Neodiprion lecontei: one gene and its partner. The protein of the gene in region 1 purifies or fractionates together with the protein of each later gene. This does not show direct contact. Links are inferred from orthologs where the notes say so. Each region holds a gene or a part of one and is shown in the gene's direction. Other genes may lie near its edges.

What was found. The genes of interacting proteins can lie anywhere in the genome.
Region 2: the proteins of E3 ubiquitin-protein ligase MARCHF5 (region 1) and dynamin-1-like protein purify together in Homo sapiens (affinity purification with western blotting, with the first as the bait; 3 studies listed by BioGRID). This does not show direct contact. The link is inferred for Neodiprion lecontei from reciprocal best matches to the Homo sapiens genes MARCHF5 and DNM1L.

Annotation. Positions count from the first base shown.
Region 1 is NC_060260.1:25,752,116-25,758,934, reverse strand, and holds E3 ubiquitin-protein ligase MARCHF5, read left to right. Parts: upstream 1-1,842; 5' UTR 1,843-1,970; intron 1,971-2,002; coding exon of another isoform or gene 2,003-2,452; exon of another isoform or gene 2,453-2,466; intron 2,467-3,004; exon of another isoform or gene 3,005-3,266; intron 3,267-3,308; exon of another isoform or gene 3,309-3,469; intron 3,470-4,379; 5' UTR 4,380-4,428; coding exon 4,429-4,606; intron 4,607-4,809; coding exon 4,810-4,972; intron 4,973-5,108; coding exon 5,109-5,317; intron 5,318-5,424; coding exon 5,425-5,743; intron 5,744-5,842; coding exon 5,843-6,008; intron 6,009-6,094; coding exon 6,095-6,250; 3' UTR 6,251-6,292; downstream 6,293-6,819. Other genes in the region: protein SFI1 homolog, read right to left, coding at 1-331, 542-796, 871-1,411, 1,528-1,712, 2,003-2,452. UniProt on the Homo sapiens protein: Mitochondrial E3 ubiquitin-protein ligase that plays a crucial role in the control of mitochondrial morphology by acting as a positive regulator of mitochondrial fission and as an important regulator of immune response.
Region 2 is NC_060264.1:30,295,097-30,302,685, forward strand, and holds dynamin-1-like protein, read left to right. Parts: upstream 1-1,589; 5' UTR 1,590-1,964; coding exon 1,965-2,066; intron 2,067-3,046; coding exon 3,047-3,611; intron 3,612-3,850; coding exon 3,851-4,098; intron 4,099-4,186; coding exon 4,187-4,717; intron 4,718-4,896; coding exon 4,897-5,082; intron 5,083-5,311; coding exon 5,312-5,633; intron 5,634-5,735; coding exon 5,736-5,947; exon of another isoform or gene 5,948-6,121; coding exon 6,122-6,178; 3' UTR 6,179-7,287; downstream 7,288-7,589. Other genes in the region: WASH complex subunit 1, read right to left, coding at 1-420, 609-738, 1,394-1,439. UniProt on the Homo sapiens protein: Functions in mitochondrial and peroxisomal division.

The DNA of each region.
Region 1 (6,819 bases):
AACGAATTTTTTTGCTTCTTCTATAATTTACGTAGTGTTTCAAATGATCAAACGTTTTCGAGTATATCTTTTTTTGATAGTAAGATCTAGACACCGATCTTTTCCTGAAACTAGATTTTTTATGATTTACATATAGTTTCCATTGTAAAATCAATTTCAGTTTCAACTTGTTTTGTGCCCTTCGATTATATTCCTCAACTTTCTTATTCAATTCTTTCACCCGAAGACAATGCTCCCGCCAGTTTCCAAATACTCTATTTACAAGAGTCTTTTTATAAAAGTTGTTGACCGTTTCTATCTTCTCCCGTTTTACTTTTTTTCTCTCTATATTCTAAAATACAAGAACTTATTACCAATAAATCATTAGAAATCAGACATGAATTCCGGTTCCAACAATATTTGCTTCATCATCCCGTTTTCATTGAATTTACAAAGTCACATCAGATTTACAATCTCCTTCAAACGTTGGACAGAAATCGTTGGACGTATTTGTATGAATTTACAACACGTTTTACAATCCATTCAGAAAACAATTACCTACCATTGATAGCATTTTAAAAGTTTTCCGCTGCAGCATTTCTAAATAATACTCGTTTGCTTCGTTCAATAAATTTTGCACCCGAATATTTTCATTGCAAAAATTAATCCAGGCAGTAAAACACTTGCCGACTATTTTCTTCTCATAATGTAGACTTGACATCAGGTACTTTGCTTTCATAAATATTCTGTTATTATAAGATCTTATCCATCGTGAAATAGCATTCTGCAGTAAGGAGTCTTTAAAAAATTGGAGAGCCTGTGAAAAAAAATCAAAATATTATTTGAAACAAAACGATAGAATTATTCCACTTGAACAAAAATGTCAAATACTTTTTCTTCCAATAAGATGATTCGTCTTTTTTTATTGTAGGTCTTTTTCCACGTGTTCAAGAATTGCTTGCAGTAAAACGTTCTACACAAATCGAAAGCCTTTGCATTCAATGACTTTATTTTCTGTTGAAATATCTTATATTCGATCCACTTCTCTAGACATTTTCCAATAATATGCCGCTTGTAGAAAGACTTTGCCATTAAAATCTTATCCCTTAACTCGAAATCATTTTTTTCATCGATCATGATCGTCCATTTATTCCATACATTTAAAATCAACAATCTTTTGTAAAACAGCTTCAACTTTTGCATCGCCAATTTGGTATTTTTGCAACAGGTAACGTTGTTCGATAAAGCGTCTAGAATTTTTTGTTTCAATCTCATTATGTAAAAAAAGTTTGCTTTGTGCTTCAGGGTTCTCCCTTGTAATTTGTGACGTACATAACGTCTCCATGTTTTTAACAATTTACGCTTGAGCATATCATCGTGAAATTTAGCTGCTACCATCATGCGTTGCTTTTCAATAATTTGTAATGTGGTCCTGAGAAGAATATGTTACATAAATTATTGACGTTTATACAATAACCAATATTTTTACATGAAATAACTGAAATCATGCGTAATTCTCGTTTCCAAAGAAAATTCTTGCTCAATTACTTATTCTTCCAGAATTGCACCACCATTTTTAATAAATTGTCTTCGTACAGGTCTATGCAAATCTGAACGATTTCTCGTTTTGTACATTTATAACAAACGTACTTCCGCCAACGTGCAAAATAAAATCCGCTCACTTTGTATGTATAATAATTCTCTGCCTTGGATCTGAGACTTCTCTCATTTTTCTGGAAGTTGAAATATTGGCTGAACTCTCCCAATTAGGCAAACCTTGCTTTAGGAACTACAAGATCGCTCATCATTGAATGAATTAATTTGGACAGAATTCATCAATTGTGCAATATAAACAAAAATAATAGGTGAGATTCAACATAAACTACACAAGCATTACATATACTTTGAAAAATGAAGGTGAAGAATTTTCTGATCAGTGTTTTGTAAACGTCATCCCGAAAACCAACAGTTGAGAGAAGAGCACAATCAAGGTACGTAAATCAATGATAAAACATTCATCCACCTGTTGAAATACATACGATCTCCATCTTCTCATGTATTTTCGCATGAAAATAGATCTTCCAATTAAAATGGATTTCATTTCGAGTAAACTCTGTTTTATTTGCTCGTGAAAATAATCCGATAGTTTCATTAATAACAGCAAAGTGTACATCGAGTAGTATAATTCTATTGCGTTGTGTCGTATAATCTTAAAATTTTTCCTTTTCTTTGCTATTGTTTTCCAAGTAGACATTGTAATTTTTAATAATCGTTCGTCGTAATTCCATCTTACGATATCTTTCTGTTTGTTAATCATCTTCGCCCTCACGGCGTAAGAGAGCCATTCACTGAATGTTTTCTTAGTTAATTTTCCCTTGTAAAAGACGTCGGCTTTATATATTAATCTGTGAATTTGTTTCACCTCGAACCAATGCGCCTTGAGTTTGTCGAAAGATCTTCGTAACATCTTCATACCGTAATATCGTCTGCACTCCGAGGGATGATATTTTCCAAAAACTTTACGTAAATAAATGTGTCCGTACTTCCTAGCGATAATCTTTTCCCTTATCGTCAATATTTTCAGCTTAATCAAATATTTCGGTAACTTTGGCTTCAGTTTTCTACCACCATAGGTTGCGACATATTTTTCCGGTGCATAATAAATTATCGTTGTCATCTTAGCGAATGATGCTATTTTTCATCTGCAGATCTGCTTGTACCTGTATTTATTATTCAACCAACGTTTCAACCACGTCTAAACTCCGTCGTTCGTTAGTTCAACTTCTTCGTTTTAATGTCACAATGGCACAAATATATTCTCTCAATATGCGACTAGAGTATTGTTCATTCACGAGCTGATTGCATTTAAGTTCACGTTTTCGTTTTCAAAATAAATAACACACTGTTGATATTTTGAAAACTGAGACGCACGGTTCTCGCGAGTTTTAAATTCGGAAACCCGCGACGATCGCGACGAAGTATCGAGACGTCAATGCGATCGAATTCACAAACTCGAAGTGGTACAATCTGCGTGTGAATTTCATATATTGCTCAGTTCAATTCATCATCACTCGCCCTGGCCAAGGAGCCAAAGTACCAACCTTACTCAGAGAAATAATCATATCTTCTGAAATGACGAAACTTGGACACTTGTTTTCTCTGAGAAGATCACGAAATTTAGAGTGAACTTGGTTCATAATTATTATCTTGCACTTTGAGAACTCGAGGCTTTACATTTTTATCGTAAGTAAGCAAATAAGAGCTGCAACGTACGCCGATGCTGTCAGGTGAAAAACTCCTTCACTTTTATCCTTATAATCTTTATTTACATACATCATAAAGTCTTTGAACCCACGTCTTCAATTTTGCTGTTACCATCAAGAATTAACTGACAAAATTAACCTTGAACTATCTCCAAGAAAAAGTACCAAAAAAAACTGCACCATAAAGTAAATGAAGTAACCTCACTTTTTCCTCAACACACTGAAGTGTATGTTAATTTTTTCTTCTACCTTTCAACGAAAAACCGCAAATTTTGATCCGCTAAATTTATTGGGATTAAATAACTTAAAAATTTCAAACTCTATGTAGACAACATCAAATTTTCAAAGTAAAAGTGACATTTCCTTGTAGCTAAAAGTGACGTCCAATAAACTTTATAAATTATTATATAAGTATTTCGTTGGATCAACACACAAAGCAAAGAAAAATATACCTCGAACCTTGTCATGTGATAACAATTATTGTAACGTAAAAAAGTTGCTCCCACTTTACATGATGTCAATCTTGTGGAATCGAATCAGACAATTGTTACGTTACCTACTGCAACTGTGCACTGTCGAATAGCTAATACGATTATTCTTACGAAATATTGTAAGGCTGATTACAGTTTTTCCAATATTTCATTTTTGTGTAAGCTTTTGTTTTTGATTATCCAATCAAAAGTCAATAATTGATTATGATAACCACGAGCATGGTTAATCTTCAGAGGGCCAGCATTTTTCGCTTGAAATTCAATATTTTTTAGAGGTGTGATTTATGTACATAGATAGTTAACAAATCTAGTGGAATTTTCAAGTTATCTGCTGAATCCTAAAAGAGCCAGGCCAGTCCTCTAAAGGGCAAATGTGTTTCCAATTTTACCTGATCAAAGTTACAAGTCACAAGAAAAATTGATCACTTCTACTTCAGCACGTACTGTAAACAATTGTAAATAACTATGTGAATGCATCGATAACTCATGCTAAAATGATTCTCTCAAGCATATTTAGCTACGATACTTTTCCAGTTTTCAACACCAGTGAACAAGGCTTGATTGTCCTGAGCTTTTTCAATGAAACTTCCACAGTGTTCAAAATCTGTTATCCCATGAAAAATTAACATTTATTTTATTTCTCTAGGGCCAGCAATGCTAAGCATATTCTGAAAATAATCGTCTCGTTTATCACAATGTCTGATACTACCAGTCAATCCTCATCAGAGTTTGGCTTGGACAGCCAAGGCAGAGTGATTAGAGTTGACCCCGATCAAAGTCAGCCGATACTAAGACTTCCCAGTGTTGAGGAAACTTTACAAAGACTTGGAAATACTTTTAATTCTGGTCAATCGACAGCGGAACATTATAGCGGTAAGACATGATAGAGGGCTTGATAACAATATTTTACTCCTGTAGCTTTAATGAGAGTCAAGTTGTTCTGTTTATTACTATGCATTTTTTAGAATTATACTTGAAATTTCATTTTATTAACTGCTTACCTAATGAAGTTGGCATAAATCTACTATTGAATTTCAAATGTTGTTATTACCAAATACTACTTACTTACAAAATAGAAACATCAGATTCACTATGGAGAGGATCATCTCCCGAAGATGATACATCTAGAAACACATTACCAAATCTCACAGACACTGAACTATCTGTAGATGTTGCCGACGGATCATCAACCCCTAATGAAACATCAGAAACTGCAACAGCATTAACTTCAGAAGAAGAGTAAGACATGTTTTCATAATGTACGATACATTTTTTTTGAATGTCAGTGTCACAGTTTCATTTGGTAGATAATCATTTCAGGTAAAAGAAACTTTATACTGAAATCGTTATATATAAGAAAAATGTATAATTTTAGTAGAAAGTATTGTTGGGTTTGCTTTGCAACCGATGAAGATGACGCCACTGCATCATGGGTCAAGCCGTGTCATTGTAGAGGAACAACAAAATGGGTCCATCAAGGCTGTATACAACGCTGGGTTGATGTCAAGCAGAAAGGAAGAGCAGGCGAAGACGTTTCATGTCCGCAATGCAACACAGAGTATATCATCATATATCCAGACATGGGTAACGAAGTCATTTTAATACATCAAGAGCGTTTGAAAAGTTATAAATTGTTGAATGGAAACACAGGAGAATATCCTAGTACCTGTTGATATAACTATGTTTTACAGGTCCTTTGGTTGTTATGTTGGATACAATGGATAGCGTGATATTCCGCGTTTGTCCATTTATAGCAGCTGGTATAGTTGTCGGCTCAATTTACTGGACTGCTGTTACTTACGGTGCTGTTACTGTGATGCAAGTGGTTGGTCATAAAGATGGATTAACTATGATGGAGCAGGCAGATCCCCTTGTCTTGCTGGTCGGCTTGCCTACAATACCAATTATGCTGGTTCTTGGAAAAATGCTCAGGTGGGAAGATCAGGCTTTGAGTTTATTGAGAAGACACGCTTCCAAAGTGCCAATCCTCAGACACTTTTTGCCAAGCAGGTGCGTAGAAATCAATTCTGATTGTTTATGTTTTAATTTATTTTTTTTCAATCCGGAGTTGTGATGTACTCATTTTTTTTTTTTTTATCCAATATTCAGCTACATTGAGGATGAAAGACTGCAATCATCCGACGTCCCACCAATGAGTGATCCAGTATCTGCAACTAGAGTATTGTGTGGTGCACTTCTGCTTCCTACGATTGCTAGTATTTGCGGCAAAATCTTTTTTGAAAGCGTAAATTCTAATTTCCAGAGAACCTTGTTGGTATGCGTCCATTGCAATTTACTTGAGAATTTTTTCTTTGCTGTTTACCTGTAGGAACGTTTAGCTCATGAATAAATCTGTTGCAGGGCGGAATGGCGTTTATAACAATCAAAGGCGCGTTTAAAATATATCATAAACAACAGCAGTACGTTCGCCAATGTCAGAGACGAATTATGGATTACACGGACAGCAATATTGCATTATATCGAAGACATCAAAATGGCGAAAGTACAATCAGCTAAACTTTGACAATGAGCGAAGCCGTTCGATATACAATAACGAAGTTTTTAAATGAAGCTTAGAAGCTTTCGTGTATGACCTGAGAGAGTGACAACAGAATTTACTGGGCTAATTGTAAGGGGGTGTTGAAGCACCGTCCAAGTAAGCAAATCGTATTTTACACCCTTTTTCCCCCGAGTAATAAAATCGTTTCAAACTTTGGGAAATGATAGCGTCTGTAACCATGCTTGTGTAAATCATGGAGAAAGGTTCAGAAAATTGGTGGAAACACGATAAATATATTTACAGTCAACTCTCGCTCCTATACTTTTTTTATTTTTCCACAACTTTTCCGAATTTTTCTTACTGATCGCTAAGTTTGATTATGAAGTTGTTCATTTGCCGAAATTAGACACGATTTATCATTCCGGACAGGAAAACCGTGTGAAATACGTTTTGTTATCCTTGTTGAACGCTTGCAAAAAAGCATGTCAGGATACTGTCGGACACATTTAATTAGGCCTATCTCATCACCACTCTGAAATAAAAATTATATGTACGCTAAAGCAAAAGAAACAGAAGAAAACAATGT
Region 2 (7,589 bases), on another chromosome or scaffold:
TTACCATACTGGTTGTCTTTGGCGTCGTGTAGCAGTAGCGAACTGACAGAGGTTGGTCTAACTGGAATAGCTCTAGAATGTCCAGAGCCCTTGCCTTTATTTGTTTTACTTTTGACGTGATAAAATTGCAGCTTGTCTTGTATGTTGATGTCAACGTTCCACCGCCCGTCCTTTGACTTTTCGGTGACGATATTTTGCGAGTTCAACTCCTGCGCTATGGGAACTGGGCTCTTATAGACGCTCGGCGGTTTATCCTCCTTTTTAATTGGCAGTTTTAGAGCCAGCGGATACTCTCTGTAGACATGATTCGAGGGGTATTTTGCTGCAGAGTATAGCTTCACCGCCTTCAAGCTTAGGTTATTTTGCAGGTGGTCTAATCTGCCCTGAAGTTTCACAGCGCGACCTTTTATACCGGCTAATCTGTAACAACGTATCAAAGATGAGATTTTTTAGTATATTTTCCAACCATTAGTTCTTTTCTTCTACCTTGTGAAAAATGAAAACGCTAATTAGTTATTCTTTCTTCAATCTCTGAGAGTGAAGACCAGATTTGCGCTACACAACTACATTTCATAACGAAAGAACACAAACAACTTTGTCTTGAATACCTTTTTGTATTTTCCGATAACCGCTCGTCGATACAGCTAAATATGCTTGCTACAGCAGAGTTGAGCGAATCTAATGCTTCTGCAATCTGGACTATGGTTTCCTCCTGTCGCAAATCATGCGGAATCACACCTGAAACACGATGCTGAAAATTAAAACTTGCCGAAGAGAGAATAATTATTTGTTTAAATAAATATTATTGTGACTGTTATTGTCATCTGATATTTAAAGATTAAAAATCATACGATTTCATAACGTTATCTATCCAAAGATCATAGATTATTTTGCATAACACTGTGGTCTGCGTTCGAATGAATTTGTTTAGAAATCTCATCTATCTCTCGAATCAATTAAAAACAATGCGAATGACTGATGTTTGAGTATTTATAACACGAAATGTATAAAAATTACGCCGAATGTATCATTATTACCAATTTCTATGTGCCCCTGCATTTCTCCTGATTCGATAAGGTCAATTTTTATACAAACAAACGACGATTGATTCAAATATCAATCCGACGCCGGCTCCTTCCCCCGAAAAATGTATTGACACTTAACAACAATCGCGAACCATTAACTCATCGCCATAAACTCTCTCATATCATTCGAGTTGTATTTAAATCTGGTTTAAACTACTCAAAACAAGTGCTACTGCATATCGTCTGCATAGGCGAACGACTGCCATTCTTAGTTCTGCCACTTTACGCCCATTAATTCTTTATCAGGTTAGGTTATGTTAGGTTCCGTTCCGTCCGTCAAAAACTGGCCAAAGATTGCAATTCTTTACCCAGTTTCGAATCGAATCCAAAGCGCGAGGCGGCTGAAGATCGCATGCGTAGCAAAGAGGATGAGAAAAGAAAATACGAACGCAGATTGATTTCCGTGATTATAATCGCGGCTTCGTGCAGTCTGTAATAAATTCAAATTTCAAATAACGGCCGCACTTAAAACCCATTCGCGATCCAATTCGCAATCGACCGCCTTAAGGAGAGTAAAGATGGCGGCTTGACGATTCCTGGCCGAGTGAATTCAGCCGGTGGATTAAACGGGAGTAGTGAGTTAAAAAGGGTATCGCTGGGTTAATGAGAGGTTTCGATTTCGTCGACGATCGATGCAGAAACCGCCTAGGTTTTAGTTTCTGTAAAATAAAACGATAATCCATCGATCTCTGCATACGCTCGAGCTGGATTTGTTGAAGGTGGTGTAGATGCTCGTAACTGTTGGAATCGCAGTATCCTCGATCTTCCGATTGTTCTTCAGCTTGTAATTTTCGTCGGGTGGCTAGAATTTCAGGCTCCGTTAATCTGTACAGAAATCGTGGTATTCCTCGACTACTCTTAACCTCGTCGTCGTCGATCATGGAGGCCCTCATTCCAGTGATAAATAAACTCCAAGATGTATTCAACACCGTTGGTGCTGACGCCATACAATTGCCTCAAATCGTCGTTCTCGGAACACAGGTTAATTATAATTTCACCTATACTATTGACAATGTGTCGGTACGTTTCAAACCATTGATTTAGACAGTCTCGCGTTTCTTCCTTAAAAGCCCGATCTTGCCCTCGGATCCTTGATCCTTTATCTTTGTGATCCTACTTGTCGTCGATATGACTTTTTCAGGTATTGTATTTCAAATTCGAAGAATATTATACTAAAATTATTTTACTTCACTCATTAAAATTACTATCGTTTAAAAGTTTCTATTTTTATCGATGATTTTTACTAGTTTTAGCATTTTCTTACAGTTGAATTTATTTTTTGCTGATGAGACCAGTGATGAAAGAAAACATATTTTTTTTCTTTTCCTAATGGAATCTTGCAAATCAATTCTTTGAAAACACTATTTTTTAATTTTATATCCATCTTTGGTTTCATTTTTACTCCTAAATTATTCGTCCACCTTAACGCCTACTTTCATAAAACATTTCTCCAATTTTTAGATTCTCATTGTTAGGTTACATTGCATGATCTGTGAATGACAACAAATATGAATTTTCTTAACAGGATCCAGCAAAAACTATTTTTCCAATTCAACAATCATTAAAATGAACATACAAGTGAAACTTTAAAAAAACGTTATCCCATTCCAAAATTACTTTTCTTTCATTACCACTTCCGGTATTAGTTATTTAGTGATTGCTAATGATTTTCAAAGATAAAAATTTTAATCCCTGTGCTAAACTATGAAAACACTTATTCTTGAGGTTGAGAGTTATCAGAATTGTTGATAAATTGAAATGAATCTAATTCCAGGAATAATTTTCTACTATGAATTAGAACTCCAGAAAACTGTGCAGTCACAAATAGTTTGGGAAAATGTTTATTTCTATGATGAATTACCTCTTCCAATTCCCTTGTGTTATCCATACATTATCCCATTTGAGAATGAAAAGAATATCCGACAAATGAAATGAGAATATATGTTTTCCATTGTATGCAGAGCTCCGGGAAATCGTCCGTCATAGAGAGTTTGGTAGGCCGCTCGTTTCTGCCCAGAGGGACTGGTATAGTGACTCGTAGGCCGTTGATTCTTCAGCTCGTTTATGCGCCGAAAGATGACAGGGAGCACAGAACAGCCGAAGATGGGACGCTGACCCTTGACGAGTGGGGTGTATTTTTGCACACTAAAAATAAAATATTTACAAACTTCGATGATATCAGATTGGAAATTGAGGCTGAAACGAATCGGATGGCTGGATCCAACAAGGGAATTTGTCCTGAACCGATTAATCTGAAGGTTTATTCAACCTCGGTTGTAAATCTGACACTCGTCGACTTGCCAGGGATCACCAAGGTCCCCGTTGGCGATCAGCCCGAGGATATTGAAGCGCAAATCAGAAACTTGGTTCTGAAACACATTTGCAATCCAAATTCCATAATATTGGCCGTTGTAACCGCAAACACGGACATGGCGACCAGCGAGAGCCTCAAACTCAGCAAAGACGTTGATCCCGATGGAAGGAGAACCCTCGCAGTTGTTACTAAACTGGATCTAATGGACGCTGGTAATTTGACCAACTAAATAGTAACTTTGAACTGATATCTGATGTATTGAATTTTGTGGCGACGTATTTCTTTCTATCCTTCTTTTTTCTCTCTTAAACTGGAGTTAAGTTTAAGAATTGATTTGATTAGCTAATCTTGATCTGAAAATTTGTCCCGAAGAATTATATTTTTCTTGGAATTATTTTATCATTCATTTATACAACCCTGCTTGAGAGTCGCTTGTTATTTTGGGTTTGAGGAACGGATGCGATTGATATCCTGTGCGGACGGGTGATTCCTGTGAAGCTGGGGATCATAGGAGTTGTAAATCGTTCACAGCAAGACATAATGAATAACAAGTCTATCCAGGAAGCTCTTAAGGACGAAGCTGCCTTCCTGCAACGAAAATATCCTACTTTGGCAAACAGAAACGGCACTCCTTACTTAGCAAAAACCCTCAACAGACTTTTAATGCATCATATTCGCGATTGCCTTCCCGATTTAAAGGTAAGCCTTTGCTAAATTGTTAGTCAGGAGAGCATGTAAATCTGGTCCCTTCCTTCGGCCATGTAACAATTATTTATTCAAACAACAGACACGCGTGAATGTGATGGTCTCCCAATTCCAAACACTTTTAAACTCATACGGAGAGGATGTGGGAGACAAGAGCCAGACACTGCTTCAGATAATAACCAAGTTTGCGAGCAGTTACTGTTCGACGATTGAGGGAACAGCAAGAAATATAGAGACTACCGAGCTCTGTGGAGGTGCTCGTATCTGCTACATATTTCACGAGACATTTGGACGAACACTAGATTCCATTCATCCACTGGCTGGTCTAACTAGGATGGATATTTTGACTGCAATTCGAAATGCGACGGGTCCCAGACCGGCTCTCTTTGTTCCCGAGGTCTCGTTTGAACTCCTGGTCAAGCGACAGATCAGGAGACTCGAAGAGCCTTCGCTACGCTGCGTCGAACTAGTTCACGAAGAGATGCAGAGAATCATTCAACACTGCGGCACCGAAGTTCAGCAAGAAATGCTTCGTTTTCCAAAACTACACGAACGGATCGTCGACGTTGTTACGCATCTTCTACGCCGACGATTACCGACAACTAATTCTATGGTGAAGATATTTCAAATACATTACACGCAACTTTGGTCTGCGTTTTGTGAAAATGGAGCATTGACATCGATTTCACTTAGACTTGCCTGAACGGTTTACCTTATTTGTAATGACGTTGCGACTAGTTTTTCGCTTATTTCGGCACTTGTTATAATTAACCAAGAGAATCTGTTTACAAGGTGGAGAATTTGGTCGCTATCGAGCTTGCTTACATCAATACCAAACATCCAGATTTTCACAAAGATGCGGCACTAGTCTCTTCGTTATTAAAGAATGCAGAGGCGGATCAAGTAAGACCCAGTAAAAGACATATATCTGCTTCTTCAAATACTTCTACAGGCAGTACGATTCTACCTTCCGAACAAGTGAGCAATAATAGTTGATCCATTCTTGGTTTAAATTGAACAATTTTATATTTTCGTCTATTTCTATCAACCATTGAATGTTTCTGAACAGAATTTTGAGAAAATTTTATTGTTCTCAGAACATACCTATATTGTCTTTTTTATCTCGCAAGTTGAAAAATTTCCTGATCAACTACAATCAATCAAATATTTTCGTCACATAAAAGCTTTGGTAACAATGTTTTGTCAGAATCAAAAAGCAGTCAACAATCGTGAGGAGCCACCGGTATTTAATAACGAACAAAGTAAAGAGGCACAAGCAAATCATTGGCTGCTGAGCAACTTGCTGCCGCAAGTAAAGTCTGATTCAACAAGCGGCAATTCCATCGATGGATCTCCAGTAAGATATAGGGATGGAAGTCCCATTCCTAATCCTACACCTAGCCCAAATTCTGTTTCGGATTTACAGCGGGGATCGCCACAGCAAAAACCAGTAAATCTACTCCCAGAAGTTCCGATGCAAACTTCTCGGAAGCTTAGTGATCGTGAGCAACGTGACTGTGATGTGATCGGTAAGATATCTGGAATGATTAATGGTTCGATCTTTGTCTTTTTTTTTTTAATCTACAGTTTTGTTCAACTATAAATAATTAATGTTATTTTATACTTTTCAGAGCGTCTTATCAAGTCGTATTTTTACATAGTTAGAAAATCAATTCAGGACAGCGTACCGAAGGCTGTTATGCATTTCCTCGTTAATTACGTTAAGGACAATTTACAGAGCGAGTTGGTCACTCACCTGTACAAAACGGACCACATTGAGTCGTTACTTAATGAGAGCGAACACATCGCCGTGAGGCGTAGGGAAGCTGCTGATATGCTCAAAGTGCGTACATTGTTTATTTTTTTTTTTTTCCTCACAAATATTATCGTTTGTTCACTTGGGAGTCTCGAAACGTTAACCGATCGAGAGACCCGCTTTAAAGACAATGGAAATATAATTCATACAATTATTCGATCGCTGAAGAATGGTGTATAATTATATTTATATCATTTACAGGCACTAACAAAGGCTGGGCACATCATAAGCGAGATTCGTGAGACACATATGTGGTGATCATCGTCACTAGTCGTATGAGAAATGCACAGGTGCAGAAATGCTAGTAACAAATAGGTATATCACTTGCGTCTGGACATACGCCGGTAATTGATTGAATTAATGCCATTTGCCTGTTGAATCAAACGGTTCTGTTTTCCAAGCGGTTGTCCAATATCCTGAAAACTGCTCGAGTATGCAATTCTTAAAAATGCAAAGTTCCAAGTTCTTCGAATGCATAATTTAAGAAATCAAATTATCGTATTCGAGTTAATGTCCAGGGTATTCAGGAGAACAAAGAGTGTAAAACTTCACATGGAAAATAGAATCGAGTGTATATTTTTATTTCAGGGAGCTTTTCTTTTTTTATTTTTTTTTTCCCCCCCATCTTACTTATTGTTATCATTCGTAGTTATGGCGTAGTTATCGACTGCAATTTCATGTGTGAATTCTTACTCGGGAATGAAACATAAGTGTCGAATGTATACCTGGCATAGGCATCGAGGTATATATGTAAAATGGTAGTGCTGTATTAATTATTCTATTTTTAATTGATTCTAATTGTTAATGATGTTTACTGTACTATTGTATAAAAATGACGTATACAATTATTACGAAAAACTAGGAAATAGGAAACGCGCGCACGTGCCGGTAATCACGCATTAATTTTTAAACGATTCAAAGCTATAAAAGCAAGCCGAATTCACATAGGTTGTTTTCGCTGTCTGCGTTAAATTCTGAAATTCTTTGTGGTATATAAATTTTCAAAAATACAGTTTAAACCATTTTTCTGCAAAAAAAACGTACCGACATTTTTCGCTGTATCAAGAAATTCACTATTACTTCGGTTCGTAATTCCGAATTTTGTAACCGAGATATTACAGCAAAATTCGAAATTTAGAAAGGCAAATATCGATACTTTTCCCCCCTTGTTTTTCTCTCTTTAGATTTTTTCATGTACATAAAAAAAGTTAGACAGAAGTTTGACTTTCTGCCATGCTTAAACTTTGTAAATATATTTAAGAAAAACAGAGTGAAATTCACGTCGAAAAAAAAAAAAAAATAGAATTACTGCGCAAAAAATCCAAAGATCGCTAATATATTCTTGTCGTTCGTTTATATTCATATACTCGAGCAAAAAATTCTCTGATTCTACAATTGTACTGTTTTTAATTATTATCCATAATTAATTTTTCTTAGATATTATTGCTAGGCGATTTTTTTCTCTTCTATATATACATTATTTTTTTTTCTTTTTTTAATTTTTTTCATTTGTGTTTTTCTTTTCCTCTTTCTTTTTAGACAATTCCAAGTATCATGAGTGTGAATCCAATAATAAATCATAAGCAGTAATATTAAAAACGTTTGCCCGTTTTCTTTCATCTTCGTTTTTATATAATTTAACTAACACATTATCTGTCATTTATTCAAG